Drosophila melanogaster: one gene and its partners. The protein of the gene in region 1 interacts with the protein of each later gene in a pairwise test. Each region holds a gene or a part of one and is shown in the gene's direction. Other genes may lie near its edges.

Region 1 (6,213 bases):
TTGCAAAGATCTGGCAGCCCTGCTCTAGAAATACCACACAGCAAATAGTCCACCTCTAAGCAACAGGTCGGTTGTTTATTGAATTCGTTTATTTAACTTTATGGGTAGTTTGGCAAATAGAAAGCTAGCTAACCGGTGCAGTTAACCCTTTTTGTTGACAGAGAGCTCAGAGGAAACGGCAGATTAGATCCCCCTGAGTTCATCCCCACCCAGGCACCACTAATCCGACGAGTATAAATCCCAAAATGCAATTGACGTGGCAGAGAGATCAGATAAATCTAGTACTTCCGATTGCTCTGATTTGTTGTTGTCTTTTGATCGACGTAACCAGCGCTCAGGAGGCCCAACAACCATGGTACGAGAATCTGCCAGCGGTGGCCATGGACTATAAGGTGTGTGCTGATTTTAAGACTCCTCTAGAGCATCAAATTTCACCGGGAACGTGGTTTCTCTTTCAGGTTCACATAGATGCTGGTAAGGAGGACTGCTACCATCAGTACGTTAAGGCAGGAGCCACCTTCTACGTGTCCTTTAGTGTAAGTTGATAGAATTTGGGATCAATAGCATGTTTCCGATCCAATGGATGGGTTTCCCCTTGAGCAGTCTGTGATATTCTAAAATAAATCAAATCGAATCCATTAATACAGTAATATAATCTATCTAATACAATGAAATTATTCATATAAATTTTTTTTAGGTGGTGCGCGGAGGCGATGGAATGGCTGGTTTCGCCGTCCGCAATCCTGCTGGTGAAGTGGTGAAGCCCTACCAGTGGCAGGCTACTGCGGACTACACGGATCAGGTATCGCCCGGTGGCTACTACTCCGTCTGCATTGACAACCAGTTCTCCCGATTCGCTGGCAAGCTGGTCAACATCTATATCACGGTGGTGAAGTACGATGCATGGGACAAGTACGCCAAGGAGATCGAGCAGCTGCAGCTGAACATGCAAAACTTCACTGTAAGCCAAACTGGTTTTCAGACACACCCAAACATCCATTTACAAATATTCACATTGATCTATTTCTTTAGGCCACCGTTGGCACTGTGGAGCGCAACATCAACGATATGATGGGCTATCAAGCCCACAGTCGTCATCGCGAATCGCGTGATTATGCGTTGCTCCTGGACAACAATGCCTATATTCAAACCTTCTCGATTAGCCAAATTGTGGTCATATTGATCACGTGCTCTGTACAGGCGAGTATAGACATGTTTTTTGCTTTTCCTAAATTAATAACCTAATATTTGCAGGTATTCTTTGTGCGCAAACTATTTGAAGTAAAATCGAGCTCCAAAAGTCGCATCTAAGGCGCAAAGATACTTTTCAAAGACTTCGCAACATGTTTCTAAAATTCCATCCGCATTTCCAAGACATTCATTCTATTCTACCTGCTGAATGAGTTTTTGTAACTTATTTTATCACTGGCTAATTGATCAAGCGCAACTGAGCAGACTTTTTTATAATTGGGACTACTTATGTCATACGAGTTATAGACAGCAAAACTTATTGTGATAAGTGTACATTTGTGTGTTTTGTTTAATTAAAAGATTGAAGATTTTTGTATTTGCTTTGTTTTATTTGGGAAAGAACCTTAAGGATTTATTCGAAGCCATTTGGGTTTGTTAATTTACTAAAAGCTCTACAAGCTTTAAAGTTAAGCTGCTTTGGTAAGCTCACTTAACCGTTAAATTTCATTATCCTGGAAAGGATTTTAAACTTAAAAATATATAATTCAGGTTGTTGTTTTAAGAAACCTGTTTTTCTTTTTATATGGGAGTAAGTTATTTTCAAATTACGACATTGTTGCAAAGACATCTTCTCGTTGCCTAAAACCAATCTTAAATATTAAATACATGCTGTACATGAGCTCATTAGTTTAAATTGAGAGCTGAAGACATTTCGAAGACATTCCACAACTTGGGCTGGCAAATTAATCACCCCGAATGCCGCTTATCGCAAATTATCCTGCCCCATCCATCGCAGGACCTTAAATCATGTCACCAGGCTCACCGCTTATCTAGACGTCATTTAGCACATGTGTGTGTGCTCTGCAGCAGCTGGCATGTTAATTATATCCTTTTTGGCAGGCAGCAGGAGCATCTGGGTATCTTGGCGGGTCTTTTGTGGCCACTGCTGCTCGAAATTAAAATGTTATTATGCGAGGCTTATCTGCGGGCCTTAAAGCCACCGCAAAACTAAGGTCCTAATGGCCTCGCACACCAGCACACGCTCTTTAACTGTTTTAAACGCCATTGTTAAAATATTGCTCATACGCACTTCCGCCCAAAATGGGGTCTTCTCTCTTCGGCAGCACTAATGATGCCCCAAGAACGCGGAGCAAAGGACCCGGCGAAAGGCAGGAGCATCCACAGCCATAGCCACATCCACATCCACATCCCCGATGGCACAGAGTTGGCTCCGCCCACCAGCAGCCGATGACAGCGGCAGATAACAGAGCAGCGGCAAAGTGGGCGGTGGATGGGGTTGTGGTGCGGAGAGCGCGCCTGCGCATTAGCCGCCGCAGAAACGCAGGACGATGGGGTGACACATCCTCGGTGATAGCGCCCAGTTCCCCTGCCACACAGAGCCACCGCTTGTGGGAGGAGTGTGTCGCCATCTTTGAGCGTGGACTGGTGACTGGACGGGATGATCTGGCCGCCACATTAACTTGGAGTGCGCGCTACCAAGTGCAACACGTCGCGGACGACATAATAGCGGTACTTTGCGGTTTAGATTCGTCGGTCACACGTCGTCAATATTCCCGGGACAAGGACCAAACTAGCGAACCTTTCTTGGTCAGCACAAGCGGCAAACGAAGGCACAAAAACCACAAAAAACACAAAGCACACACACGGCACACACTTGTACACTTACACACGGCAAGCAGTGCGGAAAACTTGGACACATACGCCCAGCTTGTTGCTGGCTGTGGGCGTGGCAGCGCACGAAAAAGAAACAGACAAGGACACACACATGTGTCCTGCCAGTGTGTCGCGGAAATTTTTGTGCGGAAATTATAGAAATTTCGCTTTTTGATTTCATTTTCGTTCCGCTTTCGTTGCGAACCTCTCACCCCTCGCCACCCACCACCACCCACCTTTTGTGCACCTGCACCTGTGCGAAAAGACATCGAGAAATGCCCAAGGAGCCCGCTGCCGTCGGTGTCCAGTTGGCTTGGTGGTCGTCGCCGTCATCGTCCTTGCAGTGACAAATTTCCTTGCATATCCGCTCCAGGACTACGAAACTTTGGCTGCAAACAAAACCGTCATTTGCGTGGCGCGTCGCTGTCGCGTTCACTTGTCGCATATCCGTCGCCATTTTGACAATAATTTCATTTCCGGTTGGCAATTTGTACGCACTTGAGTGAGTGATTAACTGCACCGATTCCCAACGATTGTGAAGTGTTTAAGATTACTAAGTTGTAACTTAAGTTGTCCCGACGGAAGTTTAAGAGACAGTCAAAGAGGAGACTTATTTTTGGATAAACTTTATTGCACATACAGGCACAATCCTGAGGTGAGTTATGTTCGAATTATAGAATGATCAACATGATTCAGAACTCCGACGGGGTCCTAAATAACTAATGTATTTTTAAGTGCTTTGTTGAACCAAAGTTGAAGTAAATTAAAGATAATATCGTAACGGTAGAATTTTATTCAAAAATTGAAAACATACTCCTAGGCTTAAATGGGGAAAATCTCCAGCATAAAATGGGGAAAATATTAAATGCATAAAAATATTTGAAATGTACGAATTCAGAATACCAGACATGTTGAAGTCTATTTTAAATCTAAAAATTTATAACCAATGTCAGTAAAGAATAATTACAATAATAAACTTTAATATTTTGATAGAATTTATTTCGAATTTCTAAGATATTTGTAAACTATGATACTTTCTATTCAAACATTCTGATCTGATAAATTAAATCCACTTACATAGAATTTTGAGCGCTTAGATACAGCACCTGTGAACTTAGATGGTTGCTTTTAATTTCTAACTAACGACAGTTATCCAACCCCTAAAAAGCTCACCCCACCATCATCAGATAATTGTGAAGCATATGTTTCTGCTAATCGAATTAGTAGACTTAAAACGGAAGTATTCATAAACCAGAAAAAAAGCACATCAGCAGCATCATTGGGTAAAAGCTTGACAATTAAACAGCAGCACAGTTTCATCAACCAGTCGGCTGTGCAAACATTCAAAAATCCTAATTTCCTAAAATCGCATAAAAATCTTACAAACCATTAAAGAGCAGCCAAACGTGTGGCCTCTTAATTAAAGGATCTCTCGTCCAACAAGGGGATTACACCATTAACAGCTGTCGAAGAGCATAAACTCGGCAATCACAGCGATACCAAGTGGTATTCAAAGGACTCAGCACGCGCTGCAGAACGGGACGAGCATTCAGCCCATCTGCAGACCGACATCCTGGCATCCCGCTCGTATTTCCGGTGTGCGCGCGTTCGCTCAGCGATTGTGATAACTTGGGGAATACAAGGATACCAGAATACAAAAAAAATAAAATGTCTGCCTGCTAATGTTCGCTGGTGAAATTTGCCTACATGCAAACGCAGCCACTCGGCCTGAGTACAAATAATAAATAATAAATGAGGCGTGTGCAGGCCGTTTATAATGTCTGACAAGGCGCAAAGTTGATGATGTTCTGTAGATGCGACCGTTTCGATAACGAAATCTATTTACTCCTCCCGGCAAACTTAAAGCTGCTGGGGTTTCAGTTACAGTTTTCATTTCGGGTATGTTTGGTGTACTTTAAGCCAGAGACAGGACAAGTCGCACTTTGTATGGCATAAATTTCGTTGGCATAAATCAAAATTCAGCAACTTCCGACGAGGGCAGAGTGCAAAAATTTGCATGCCCCCTGTGTGTGCTAACTGCAGACTGGCCGAAAAGGGCCAGTAAACAATGGTTCGCCTTCCCCAGCTTCGACCAGCTGGACATTAGAGAGCCACGCTCAAATGGCCGCCACCCACGCACAGTTCAACGCTCATACGCAACGTTGGCCCAGTGCAAAAAGCGGGACTGTACACACAATAAATAACGAGCCAGATAATTATGCACGTCGTGCTTATATCTAAGGGAACACTAGCTCCACAGCTCCAAAGTAGCCACTATTAATTATGCCAGAACATCGGGGGGGTTTTCGGGTAGCTAGCTTAACGTGTTGGGGCCATGGCAATTAGAGCGATTGTTTGGCCCGAGAGGCATTCTAAAATTGCAGTATTTAATTGTGGACCACGCGCTATGATTTATTAATATCTCGCTCTGCAATTTGCCATGAGGTGAGTGATGGAGTTTACTTGGACTTTAAAGCAATTAAATCTTCTGGTTTGACTACCAATAGAGTACAAGAGTGTATGAATAAATATCTTAAGTTTTAGTAACTTATAAGTACTAAGTATTCATTTATATTCATTTTCGTTTGTAATTTTCGCAGTTTTATAAGTACTATAAAACCAATTTGTTCTATCTATTACTTTCTCCGGCAGAGTCAAGTGGAATCCCTTGTTTAGCCAACAGCCACCCATCGAGGCTCCCCAGGCGTGCGCCATGTACGAGAACTCCTGTTCGTATCAGACGGCGCTGGACCTGAAGAGGGTATCGCCACCGACTCTCGCCCAGGTGAAAACGGAGGAGTGCCTTGCACTCGGACAGTGCTCGCCAGAATGGACCTCGTACCGCTTCCATCAGTCCACCTTCGAGCAGCTGAAGCAGAGTGTGGAGAAGGCCAAGGCGGCGCTGCAGGATCGCAGCAGTTTTTTCGGGGCCAGCAGTGCCTTTAGGTGAGTAACATCTTAAGATGTAACTATTTTGCACTAAATAAAATTTATAAACCATTTAACTTGGAAATCTTACTTTAAAAGAATTTTAATCTTGAATTCAGAATTATAGTTTGAGGTCTTATTAATTGGTATTATGGTATATATATCTTAAATGTATGTTTTCCAACCACAGCGACATCTACTCGAGCCAGCGCTTAACGGACTCCCTCGACACCCTGCCCGTTCAGTCCGGGAATGGAGGCGGCAATTGCCTTGGCCTTCCACACAATCCCAATGTCGGAGTGGGCGTGGCCGGAGTGCTCAACTACAATGCGGTCAGCAGCAGTACGGCCGGAGTTCTGAGCAGCAGTGGGAACGGCGTGCAGAGACATCGGTTGGACACACTGCAGCCGCCATCCGGGT
Region 2 (5,666 bases), on another chromosome or scaffold:
TGCTCCACGTCCAGAACATTCACTTCGAGAACGGCCTGCTGAAGACGGAGGCAACGGACGCCGGTGCGAATCTCAAGCAGGAGCGGGATCGTGAGCGGGAGCCTAACTCGCCGGTGCCCATTGTGGCGCAGGTGAATCCATTTGCCTGGTACGAGATTGGTGGCGATCACAACGAGGACAGCGACGATGAGCGCGTTGTCCTGGAAAAGCAGGATGAGGACGAAGATGAGCGGCCAGGCAGAAGCATAATCAAGTGGCAGGACCATCAGTCGCTGACCAGCGAATCTCTACGTCAAGTCCGAGCCCTCAAGGTGGACTACAAGGAGGAAGACTCCGAGCAGGAGGAGTGCGGCATGGAGCTGGATCTGGACAGCGAAGGCAGGCACTCTGCCAAGATTCCGCACTCGTGTCCGCACTGCACAAAAGTTTACCAGAGCCGCAAGGTCCTCGAACGCCACATAATGCGCCAGCACAAAGACACTCTCTCGCCGGATGTGGACAGCGAGGACGCGGACTACGAGCCGCCCAAGGATGCGCCCGTCAAGTCCGCTGCCCAGGAGTACAAGTGCGAGCACTGCGGCAAGATCTACCATGGCAAATACAGTCTGCGTCAGCATTTAAAGCGGGATCATGACAACGGCGAGGAAGGAGGCTCCGCCATCTTCACCTGCCTGGAATGCGAGGCCCAATTGCCGCGCCTGCGCCTGCTGGACGAGCACATGGTGCAGGCGCATGGCGGCGCTGCCTGTGTGGTTTGCGGGCGGCGCTACAAGACGCGACACGAACTGAAACGCCACCAGCTCAAGCACACCAGCGAACGGAACGTGCCCTGCCCGCATCCCGGCTGCGGCAAGCGCTTCTTCACCATCCGTCATATGCGCAATCACGGCAAGGTGCACACGGAGCAAAAGAACTTCGTCTGCGAGAGCTGCGGCTACAGCTGCCGGAACAAGGAGACGCTGCGCGTCCACATCAGGAGCCACACGGGCGAACGGCCGTTCGGGTGTCAAGTGTGCGACAAAAGATTCCCCTCCCATTCCGGCCTGCGAGAGCACATGGCCATGCATTCCACGGAGCGACCGCATGTGTGCAGCGTTTGCGGTGCGACCTTCTCCCGACAGAAAGGCCTCTACCACCACAAGTTCCTGCACGCGGACACCAAGCAGTTCGTGTGCAAGCTGTGCGGGAATGCCTATGCCCAGGCCGCCGGTCTCGCTGGACATATGCGCAAGCACCGGAACGACGAGCTCAACGGATAGGATCCGGATCACCGAGGTCGTAGTCTAAGTTGTACGTTTTGTATCTTCCAATTCCGACGTTTAAGTTCAGGAACTCAGGCATAGGCTATATATAGGATTACCATAGAAATCAATGGTTTTTTGCATTGCTCCGGCATGGAGCGGGTATCATGTGACTCTTCGGTCCTCGTTTCACGGGTTTCCATCGAATTTATTTGACACGCACTGTAAATAATATCCCTAGTTTTAGATAAACTGAAAGTTTGTTAATCTGTTTCGAGTGAACTTAGTTTGAGGCAAATTTAATTGGCTCGATTGTAAGTACTAAGACTAAACTACATTTCCATGAATTTTCTAAACTACCAACTCAAATAATAACTAAACTTTGTTAAGGTTTAAACTATACATTAAGCACACAATGCTTCCAAGAACCAAATCGAACGCCGTAATCTCGGCAACCGGATGTGGCTAGTATTCGAATGGTTAACTTTTTTGTATTGATAAATATACATAACATGAATTTGATTCGCAAAAGAGAGCCCGCGTTTAAAATTAGCCAAGCGATTTGGTACCTTTGACAGCAATTAATCGGTCGACTGCTGCTAAAGCGGCCAAATGCCAAGATGGTATTGGATGGGGTGCGTCTAACAATAGTGCCGACGATTAGATTTGGCACACGCGGACCGACCATGTCGGCGGAACGTCCAGCTGCCAGCTCCGATAATCGGCGACTTATGTGCGAGTTCTGCGGCTATCGGACGCGCATCTATTGGAATCTGCAGATCCATCGTCGGCGACACACCGGCGAAATGCCCTTCAGTTGCCAGCAATGCCAGGCGCGTTTCCCGGCCAGCTATCAGCTGAAAAGCCACTTGGAGCGGCACTTGGACGCCGGCGAGCGACGCCAGCGGCACATTTGCACCGACTGCAACGTGGGTTTCTCCAGTTCGCGGGCCCTGTACCATCACCGGACGCTCCACGAGGATGGGAAGCGCTTCAAGTGCTCCCAGTGCGACAAGTCGTTCGCTCAGGCGGCGGGCTACGCCCAACACAAGCGGATTCACCGCCAGAGGAACCAGCGAGCCACCGAAACCACGGATCTGAAGGATCTGCAGATCAAAAGAGTGGTTTCAAGTGTTTTTCATCGGCGCGAGTTTAACACTGCATAAAATTCAGTGGAGTAATTAACATTTTATTTTTGTGTCATATTCAAATTTAAAAAAACCGGGTAACCGATTCGTTATTTCAACTGAAGTGCCTTATAAATAAAACAGGCAGTATCACTTTCTAAGAGTCTGGTAACAAATTGGTAACACTTGAGAGGAGCATATTGCTTAGCTATTTAATATACATAGATCAAATATAATTAATTTTGAACTTAAAATTTATTTTGTAGTTTATTCGGTCAAACGGTTAGTTTGGTTTGAAACATAGCTGAATGGCTGTGAAATCAGTGCTGGTTTGAGTCTGCACTAAATGTCTATCGAAGTCGATCGAAATTTTGTTTACATATTTTATTTTAATTTTGGTAAATAATATTGCAACAATTTTAATGTAAATAAGAATCAGAAAATGTTGAGACACTGCCTCGCCAACGTCGACTACGTCCGCCTGCACGCCCAGCAGCAGTTGCGTCCCAAATGCGGCGAGATCTTCTACGAACCGGAGGCGAATAGATTCCAACTGGTCTGCCTGCTCTGCGACATGAAGCACTTTGGATTCGAGGACTTCGCCCGCCATATCCGTAATGTGCACTTCGACAAGCAGGGCCGACCGCTCACCAAGACGGTCACGGGACTGGGCAGACTAGCACGAGAGGAACAGGAGTTCCAAGGGGTCAGCGCAGAACCATTGGCTGTGGACAGCTTCAAGAAAGAGTACCTGCCCAACGAGGATGTTCTGTCGGAGGAGGAGGACGCGGAACAGGAGCTGGGACTGGAACAGGACGAGGGCAATCCACTACGCATCATGGTGCTCGGGGGTAAACAGTCCGTGGACGAGGAGACCATCGATACGATGTGGCAGCCGGATCATGACAGTTCCTCCGCATCCGTCAACGAGGGGTGCGCTCTGGAGGCTCTGTTGGGCGTGGAAAATCCGCAAGACTATCAACCGGATGAGGACGGGGAGGAGCACCAGTCTGTTTTTAAGGTAGAAAAACTGTAGTACGTGCACTTGAAGAAGGAAATCCAATATCTGAATATGTTTTTTCCCTGCAGAAGCAGCGCCAACCAAAGGACTACAACTGCCCACACTGCGACAGGAGGTACACGACGCAGAAATACCTAAACACCCACCTAAAGATGAGCCATCCGTTTCCGCAGGCCTTCAAGTGCGTCGACTGCAAAGCCACCTTCGATGTGGACCGAGCATTGGCCCAGCATCGTCGCAAGGAGCACACGGAGTTCGCCTGCCAGCTATGCGACAAGGTGTTCAAAAGCTCGCGATCCCTTCTTCGCCATGTGCAGGGTCACTCCGGCGCCAGGACATTCAAGTGTGAGCACGAGAACTGCGGCAAGTCGTTTGTCAACCAGCACAACCTCACCTCGCATCGGCGGGTCCACAGCGAGGAGCGGAACTACGTGTGCGAGCTGTGCGGCTATAGATCCCGCTACCGGGAGGCGTTGATCGTCCACCGGCGCACGCATACGGGCGAGAAACCCTTCCAGTGCCAGACCTGTGCCCGCCGCTTTGCCTCCAAGTCGCTGCTCAACGAGCACCAGGCCATGCATTCCACCGAGAAGCCCTACAAGTGCGACAAATGTGATTCGGCCTTCTCCCGCCCGAAGGCGCTCTATCACCACAAGCATCTGCATTTGGGCATCAAGAAGTTCAAGTGCAAGATCTGCGGTAATGCCTATGCCCAGGCGGCAGGTCTATCCGCTCATATGCGAGCGCACAAGCTCCAGGCGTCCGTAAATGCGACGGAGGGTGCCGAGGCGGAACCCATCGAGATGCTTTTCACCTACTGACCGAACTGAGTGGAAACCTCCTGTCGCCTTAAGCTCTATTTCCATATAACTCAAGATATTCAAGATACACCACAAACAATGTTCACTGTTCTAGATTTTATAGATAGCTTATCAATGTTTATGGACACCCGACTCTTTCGTTCCAACTTTTCACATATATATATATATCTGTAAATAGTATTAGACATTTTCCAATCTAAGGCCGCAAATGTTCTTTTTTAATTTAAGTGATGAAGCCTTCCATTTCTGTGTCTCAAAAATTAGTACCTACATATCAGTAGAAGTCGTGTGTAAGCTGTTATATCTGTTAGTTTAGCTAGTTTTAAGCCAAGACCTTGCTTCCGACTAGGACAAACCACGTATGTACAATAAATGTTCTGATACACGTTACTCCAACATGGACTTTCAAATGGGCGCACAAAGAAGCCAGTTTGTCTATAGCTCAACATTTATTTCGAACAGGAACTTATAACTAGTCGCATATTGGTTACACTTGGATGCATATACATGTATATATTTAGATTCAATTTGGTACAGCAGCTGGTAGTAAGCATAACACTGCGGTAACCAAGACATCCATGCTGGCAATCCCGACATGAGACATATGTACACACTTGGGGGATCACCGAATCCGTAACTTAACTATCCTAGAGATGCGATGCACAACACAAAAAAAAAAAAAAAAAACAAATCAGAAGAGAGGGAAAACAAAGCGAGACGGCATCTGTCCTGGACAAATGCATCCCCCAACAATAAGGTGCCACATGGCTTAGGCCCACACCCGTATGGTGTAGTCCCAACTGCCGGTGGATAGAGCGGTGCCATCGGGCGAGACCTGGACGCAGGACACCTTGTTCTCGTGCCCGTACAGCAGGCAGACCCTTTCCGATTTCAGCGTGTCCCACAAGTTGACGGTGTAATCGTTGTAGCCAGCAAACAGTAATCTTCCACTGACCGAAAAGTCCACCGAATTGACGCCAAAGATGATGCTCTCCTTGGCGAACACGGCCACCTCGCGATCCGCTCGCATATCGTACAGCCGGCAGCTGCTGTCATCCGATCCAGTGGCTATGGCATCTCCGCAAGGATGGAACTTAACGCTATTCACATCCGATTGATGACCCTCGAAGGACTGAACGACATGACCAGAGCGCATGTCCCAGATGAAGGCCATGCGATCGCAACTGCCCGAGACAAAGGTGTTGCCCGTTTCGTTGGGAGCCAAATCGATGGCCATTACATCGCCGGAATGTCCGTGGAAGCTTTGCAGTAGCTGGCCCGATTCCACGTCCCACAAAGCGCATGTGGAATCGCCACTGCCCGTGAGGATTTGCTGATCGGAATTCGGATAGATGCAGCACGACATGTAGCTGGTGTGGGTGCCCACTGTGCGCTTCTTGGCGGCCATCTCCTCATCGGAGGTTATCGGATACACGGTGACCTTATTGTCTAGTCC
Region 3 (5,796 bases), on another chromosome or scaffold:
TCTCTGGTCTTGAAAGGGCTTGAGCGTTTCCGTAGAAACGAACGAGAAATACGCGTTGTTTTTGATTGAAGAGAGCCGACGCTCGTCTATTTCACGTTGACGTTGATCACGAATTTCGTTTTGCATTTTAATTTCACAGATTTTGTGATTACGATTAATTATAAATTTACTTATCATACTTTTTTAAGACACATTGTAAATAAGAAGAGAGAGAAAAAAAATATATATATATAAAGTATACATGTATTTGATCAGAATCAATAGCCGAGTAGCATACAGATTCTAAACGCAGCGCAAGTCTGTTCACCCATATGGCCACGCCCACTTTTCCGCCCGCTAACCACAGAAAACTGACACTCACACACCTTAGAACCATTTTTCAAAATTGTTTCATCATTTTATTAGTCTTGTAAATTTCTATAGAATTTTTGCCATGCCCACTCTTACTCCCTAAAACCGTCCAAAACTGCCGCGAAGCGGTCACGCCCACACTTTAAGAAATTTTTTTTTTAATTTTTTCTCATTTTATTTCCCAATATCTATTGATATCCCAGAAAAAAATGTTCTCGTTCCCATTTACACTAGCTGTCAGCTAGTAGCTGAGAAATGCTTTTGCATGTTCCGATGCGCACTTCTGAAAGCGTTAGCTTAGAAGTCGGCAATTCATGAAAGAGCGATGATATTTCCTCGCCTTGATTAAAAACATCAATCTTAATCGCTTAGAATTTTTAGGAGAGAGATCACCGTCATGAGAGTCGGCTGTGCAGCCGAAACAATTAGGCTCTGCGACGATTTTGTGATGTTCTTCAAGGGTGATGAATTGTGGATCTGTATGGTACATTCGATGTACAAGTTATCCAACCCATAAACATAGCACCCTTCCACAGTTTATAAACAAATTTCAATTCTCAATCTCGTCGGCATTTCCTTTGTCTTTGTTTTTGTCATTGCCTTTGCCAGCGCTTAGCTACTCGCTAAAGTAAATAACCCAAACTTAACGTAAACACAGCTTCCGCTTGGAGACCAAACCACGGCCAACTTATTACGCTTCAATCAAAAACTGCATCGATCAGCATAATTGAATTTCACAATGCAGTGGAATAATTTCAGCATAAAGCTTTTATCAAAAGTTCAGAAAGTGTCAAAGAAAAGCTTCTGGCCGAGGTTGATTGGATTAGGATTCAGAATTTGAAGATCAGTCTGATTCGGGAGGATTAAAAGAACGGTTTATTAGTGTATAAATAGATAACAATAAGTGTCTTGTAATAAAGTGATAAGTTGAAAAGTTTAACACCAATAAAAATACTAAAAAATAAAAAATTATTTTTTAAAATAATTTATACCGCAAAAAGTTAATTTACATATGTGAGGTTTGAGGCCAAAATTTTTTTCGGCTGCTTTTCATGGCGGGCCCCTGTGGTTGGCTAACTCTTTAGCGTGGAACTCTGAGGTGCTTAAAAATACCGTTTTTTCATTTTCACGGTACTGCACATAGAATTTTGTTTGTTTTCGTGCCTGCCTTCGTCCAGCGTTCCGCCTTTTATACACTCGTTGAAAGTATCCAAGCCAAAATCCCGCCATTCTGGTCTCGATCAGTACTTTCCACGGATACAGACGATTTTCCGATTATTATCGCTACATTTTGTTGCCCAATAAATGATCCTGGCAACTTTTTAATATACACTTACTGGTACGAGCGTCCAAGAATAATCCTGATCTATAATTCTTAATTTATCAGATCGGACACGTTTACTTTTTTTTCGCATATCGATAGAAATTTACAAAACTAACGGAAAAATATACAAATATCAAAACATTTTTTTAATATATTAGCCTGGCAGTCTTAAGCAGTTTGTGAATGCTTCTGGATCTGCATGCTTAATCTCAACCTTATAGCTTTAATAGTTCCTGAGCTTTCGACGTTCATGCGGACGGACATGGCCAATTCAACTCGGCTATTAATCGGATCAAGAATATATATACTTTATGTGATCAGAAACCGTTCCTTCGGGTTGTTACCTATTTTTTAACGAATCCAGTGTACCCTTTTAGTCTACGAGTAGCGGGTTTAGAAATGGAGCAGATGGTATCCTTGTCAAGGAAGTTTGCGGTACAATTTAATGAGATCCAACGCCTATGGTTTAACTTCTGGCGAATGATTGATCTTTAATAAATTTATATCTAATGTATACAGACTTTAAAACTTCGATTTAACTATCGACCCCTGCGGTGTTGATTTCGTGTTTTAAATGTTTTTGTATTTGTTTTAATACACTTGCTATACATCTACATCAAAAAATTCAAATAGAATTGTCAAATTCAAAACGACTGAATAAATTTCACCAGTGTGAATAGAAATAAAGAAGTGGTTTTCATGAAGAGGGTTATGTTTATCATTTTCATCAATATGGCTAAATTGGATAAATAACATATATTCTTAAAAAAAATTTTGAATAACTATTTAAAAGTCAAACTCAGTACATTTTGAACATGACTAATTCGAGACGATATGACCAGCCGTTAAGCATTAAGAGACTTTCACACTCCGAAAATTCTCCTTCAATGCGATAAAAATTCGGAATTAAAAAATATAGCATCAATGGTATAAAAACAAAAAAAAATAAATAAATTCTTTTAATGCAATGTTTATTTCTTAGCACTGGATCAAGAACTTTTGCTACAGAACTTATTGTTAATGTTAACTTATTGTTACGTATCAAGAAGTTGTGAATTGCGCATTAGGGAGCACTTGTGGAAATAACTTATTATAACTATGGTCGAGAACTTTGATATACATTTTGTATCTATTTTAAAATAGAAATACGTTCACACCTTTTCTAAATATTTAATTTTGTACTTCTTGCCTAGTGCCCCATAACAATTCTATATTTTGTTATTTGTATCAGCTTGAATTGTGTGTGAAGAAACATAAATTTTATCAATGACAAAAAAATATGTTGACAATTTAGCTCTTTAGTTTAGCTATTGCTTAACCAAATAATTCCTGCGGCTACCACTCGGCATCAACATGGCTTCCAAATCTGCGTACGAAAAAACTTTGGTAGTAAACATTGCCAATTTTGAAAAAATTCAGAACTTTTTAAATGACAAGGAAAAGTACAAGGAGATTCTAGAAAACAGCGAGAATTTCAACACTCGTCTATGCATTGAACGTCGACTTCGCATGCCATTCCTCGATCCCCAGACAGGTGTCGCACAGACACATTGCTCCCTCTTTATGAAAAAAAAACAGCGAATGCCAGGTCTTCGACATGGTCAGATATACACTTATCCATCGTCTCGGTGGCGCAAACCAAAACGTCAGTACTTACTTAACCCGAATCAAAGTTTCCGAGCCTATCAGTATCGCGAGCACAACCTTCAGCACTCCCACCATCAAACGCATCAGCATCACCATCATATACCTTCGTCTGGCGTTGCTGTACCACAAAATCCTCACTTAGCTGAAAGCGCAGGTAAAAAATTGCAGCTTATCGTCGGATGAAAGTCAATATTTTATACATCTGACATTTATATTTATTATGGGTTTTTATTTACAGCCATTGCTGCTACGGATGGCAACTCCATGGGAGCATCAGGAGATAATGATAGTAAGGACTCACATGCAAACGTCGAAAAAGAATGGTTCCACGATGAAATGGACACATCACATTTTCATCATGGCGATGAATTTGAGGATGACTTTGATTCAGATAACGATTTTGATGAGTCTTACACCAGCCGGGGCAAACGCAAAAAGTGTTCGCGTCCTAGACGAACAAATGCAAACGTAGAGGGTACTCCCAAACGGGGACGTAAAGGTGGTGGTGAGTACAAGTTTATTAAGCTGATGAATTGTAAACGTTATTGATACCCTAGGCAATCGTCGAAAGAACGCCGTTGAGGGAGAATCTGATCGAAAACGTAGAGCCGGTGGAAATAGTGCAAATACATCCGCAGCCGCAGCGGCAGCTGCCGCCGCTGTCGCACATGCAGCATGTACTGCAGCTGCTGTCGCTAGCACTGGGCTCTATGCATCTCATTCCAACTCAGCTTCGCCTATTCCCATAAATGACGACAATTCACAGTCAGGACTCATACTGCCAACAAACATATCGTCGTCGTACGATAAGACTTCAAGCGATGCTGGAGCTTCCAATGACTCAATTCCCCTAGCAACAATGGTTGCCATAAACGCGGGCCTGACAACCTCAAATGTTTGCAATGCGCATCCGGTGCAAACAGGAACAAATCAAACGGTGTTTGCTACTGGTAATAAGGTCAAACAACGTGTAGAACGTGACATAGCGCAACCATCACCTTATTGTGACTTTTGTCTGGGAGATCAACGAGAAAATAAAAAAACCAATATGCCCGAAGAGCTAGTATCGTGCTCGGACTGTGGTCGTTCCGGTCATCCATCGTGTCTGCAGTTCACGGCAAATATGATTATATCGGTAAAACGTTATCGTTGGCAATGCATTGAATGCAAGTACTGCTCCATCTGTGGGACCTCTGATAATGACGATCAACTTTTATTTTGTGACGATTGTGACCGGGGATACCATATGTACTGCCTGTCACCACCGCTTGTGACTCCACCAGAGGGTTCTTGGAGCTGCAAGCTATGCATGGAGGAGTTCCACAAGATTAAATAAGCTAATAAGCTACATTAATAATTCACCAATTATAAGTTAATCTTCTCATAAATATAAAAAACGTACATTTTACTTGGTTTGTTGAATTTTTTGGTCTTCTATTTTTCTTTTTATGCGCCTGTATGGGTTTTATCAGTTTTGGTTTAAGTAACCTAATTAATTTTTACACAGGTAAAGACACTTGACTAGCAACATATATCGAGAGTTCAATTGATAAAAATTATATATATATTATTGTGTAGTTTGGCGAAATTAAAGTCTGCTAATTTAATCCTCGCTATTTTTATTTTTTATTATATTTTATAAATGTTTCTTCTGTGTGCTTTTTGAATTACAAAGTGGCCAAATTAAAAGGAAATATAACCGTATAACGATTAGATTCGTTGAAAAGTATGTAACAGGCAGAAGAACGCGTTTCCGAATGTATAAGGTATATATATATGTTCTTGATCAGGATCATAGCGAATCGATCATGAACTATAAAAGCGCAAGTTTGTTGACCCATATTTTATTGTTTGTCTTGTTAATTTCTGTAGGTATTCCAAAAAACACTTTGGCCACGCCCTTCCTTTAACCATCAAAACGCCCGAAAACGTTGATTTAGAGCTTATAGATTTTTTATTTTTAAGGAACCGAAAAATAGGTGTAATGTGTAAAGAAATAAGTTGGTGAAAGATAAGAGAATCTGTAGCTCGTAGCTACAAATAGTATATTCAGAAAAGGATAGTTTCAGCATAAAGAAAGGATTAGAAATTTGCTAGCTAAACACTGGCCTAATTGAGCTCGCCGAATGCCTTAATCATATATATTTTTGACAGTGAAACGTTTTATCGGAGTGGGAAACTCACTTGATTTATTTATTACTATTATTACTTTATAATGCCCAAAAGGCATATATATATAAAGGTCTACCAGTCTATAAATTCTGTCAGTATATTTTTATACCTGACATATCTGACCATATAAGGTATATATATATACTTGATCAGGGTCAATAGCCGAGTCGATCTAGCCATGTCCGTCTGCCCGCATGAACGTCGAGAGCTCAGGAACTATTAAAGCTATAAGGTTGAGATACATATACATTCAGATTCTAGAGACATAGACGCAGCCCAAGTTGACCCATGTTGCCACGCCC

The links.
Region 2: the proteins of Ets65A (region 1) and CG10959 interact in a two-hybrid assay, tested with the Drosophila melanogaster proteins (one large-scale study listed by BioGRID).
Region 3: the proteins of Ets65A (region 1) and d4 interact in a two-hybrid assay, tested with the Drosophila melanogaster proteins (one large-scale study listed by BioGRID).

Annotation. Positions count from the first base shown.
Region 1 is NT_037436.4:6,094,952-6,101,164, forward strand, and holds the start of Ets65A (Ets at 65A), read left to right. Parts: upstream 1-2,665; 5' UTR 2,666-3,520; intron 3,521-5,517; 5' UTR 5,518-5,578; coding exon 5,579-5,811; intron 5,812-5,983; coding exon 5,984-6,213. Other genes in the region: loj (logjam), read left to right, coding at 246-392, 459-536, 698-961, 1,033-1,200, 1,255-1,311.
Region 2 is NC_004354.4:8,146,088-8,151,753, forward strand, and holds CG10959 (uncharacterized protein), read left to right. Parts: upstream 1-2,695; 5' UTR 2,696-2,810; coding exon 2,811-3,389; intron 3,390-3,457; coding exon 3,458-4,210; 3' UTR 4,211-4,599; downstream 4,600-5,666. Other genes in the region: CG2129 (uncharacterized protein), read left to right, coding at 1-1,259; CG15336 (uncharacterized protein), read left to right, coding at 1,928-2,407; Gbeta5 (G protein beta subunit 5), read right to left, coding at 4,980-5,666.
Region 3 is NT_033778.4:5,291,237-5,297,032, forward strand, and holds d4 (d4), read left to right. Parts: upstream 1-2,826; 5' UTR 2,827-3,028; coding exon 3,029-3,476; intron 3,477-3,560; coding exon 3,561-3,827; intron 3,828-3,879; coding exon 3,880-4,658; 3' UTR 4,659-4,729; downstream 4,730-5,796.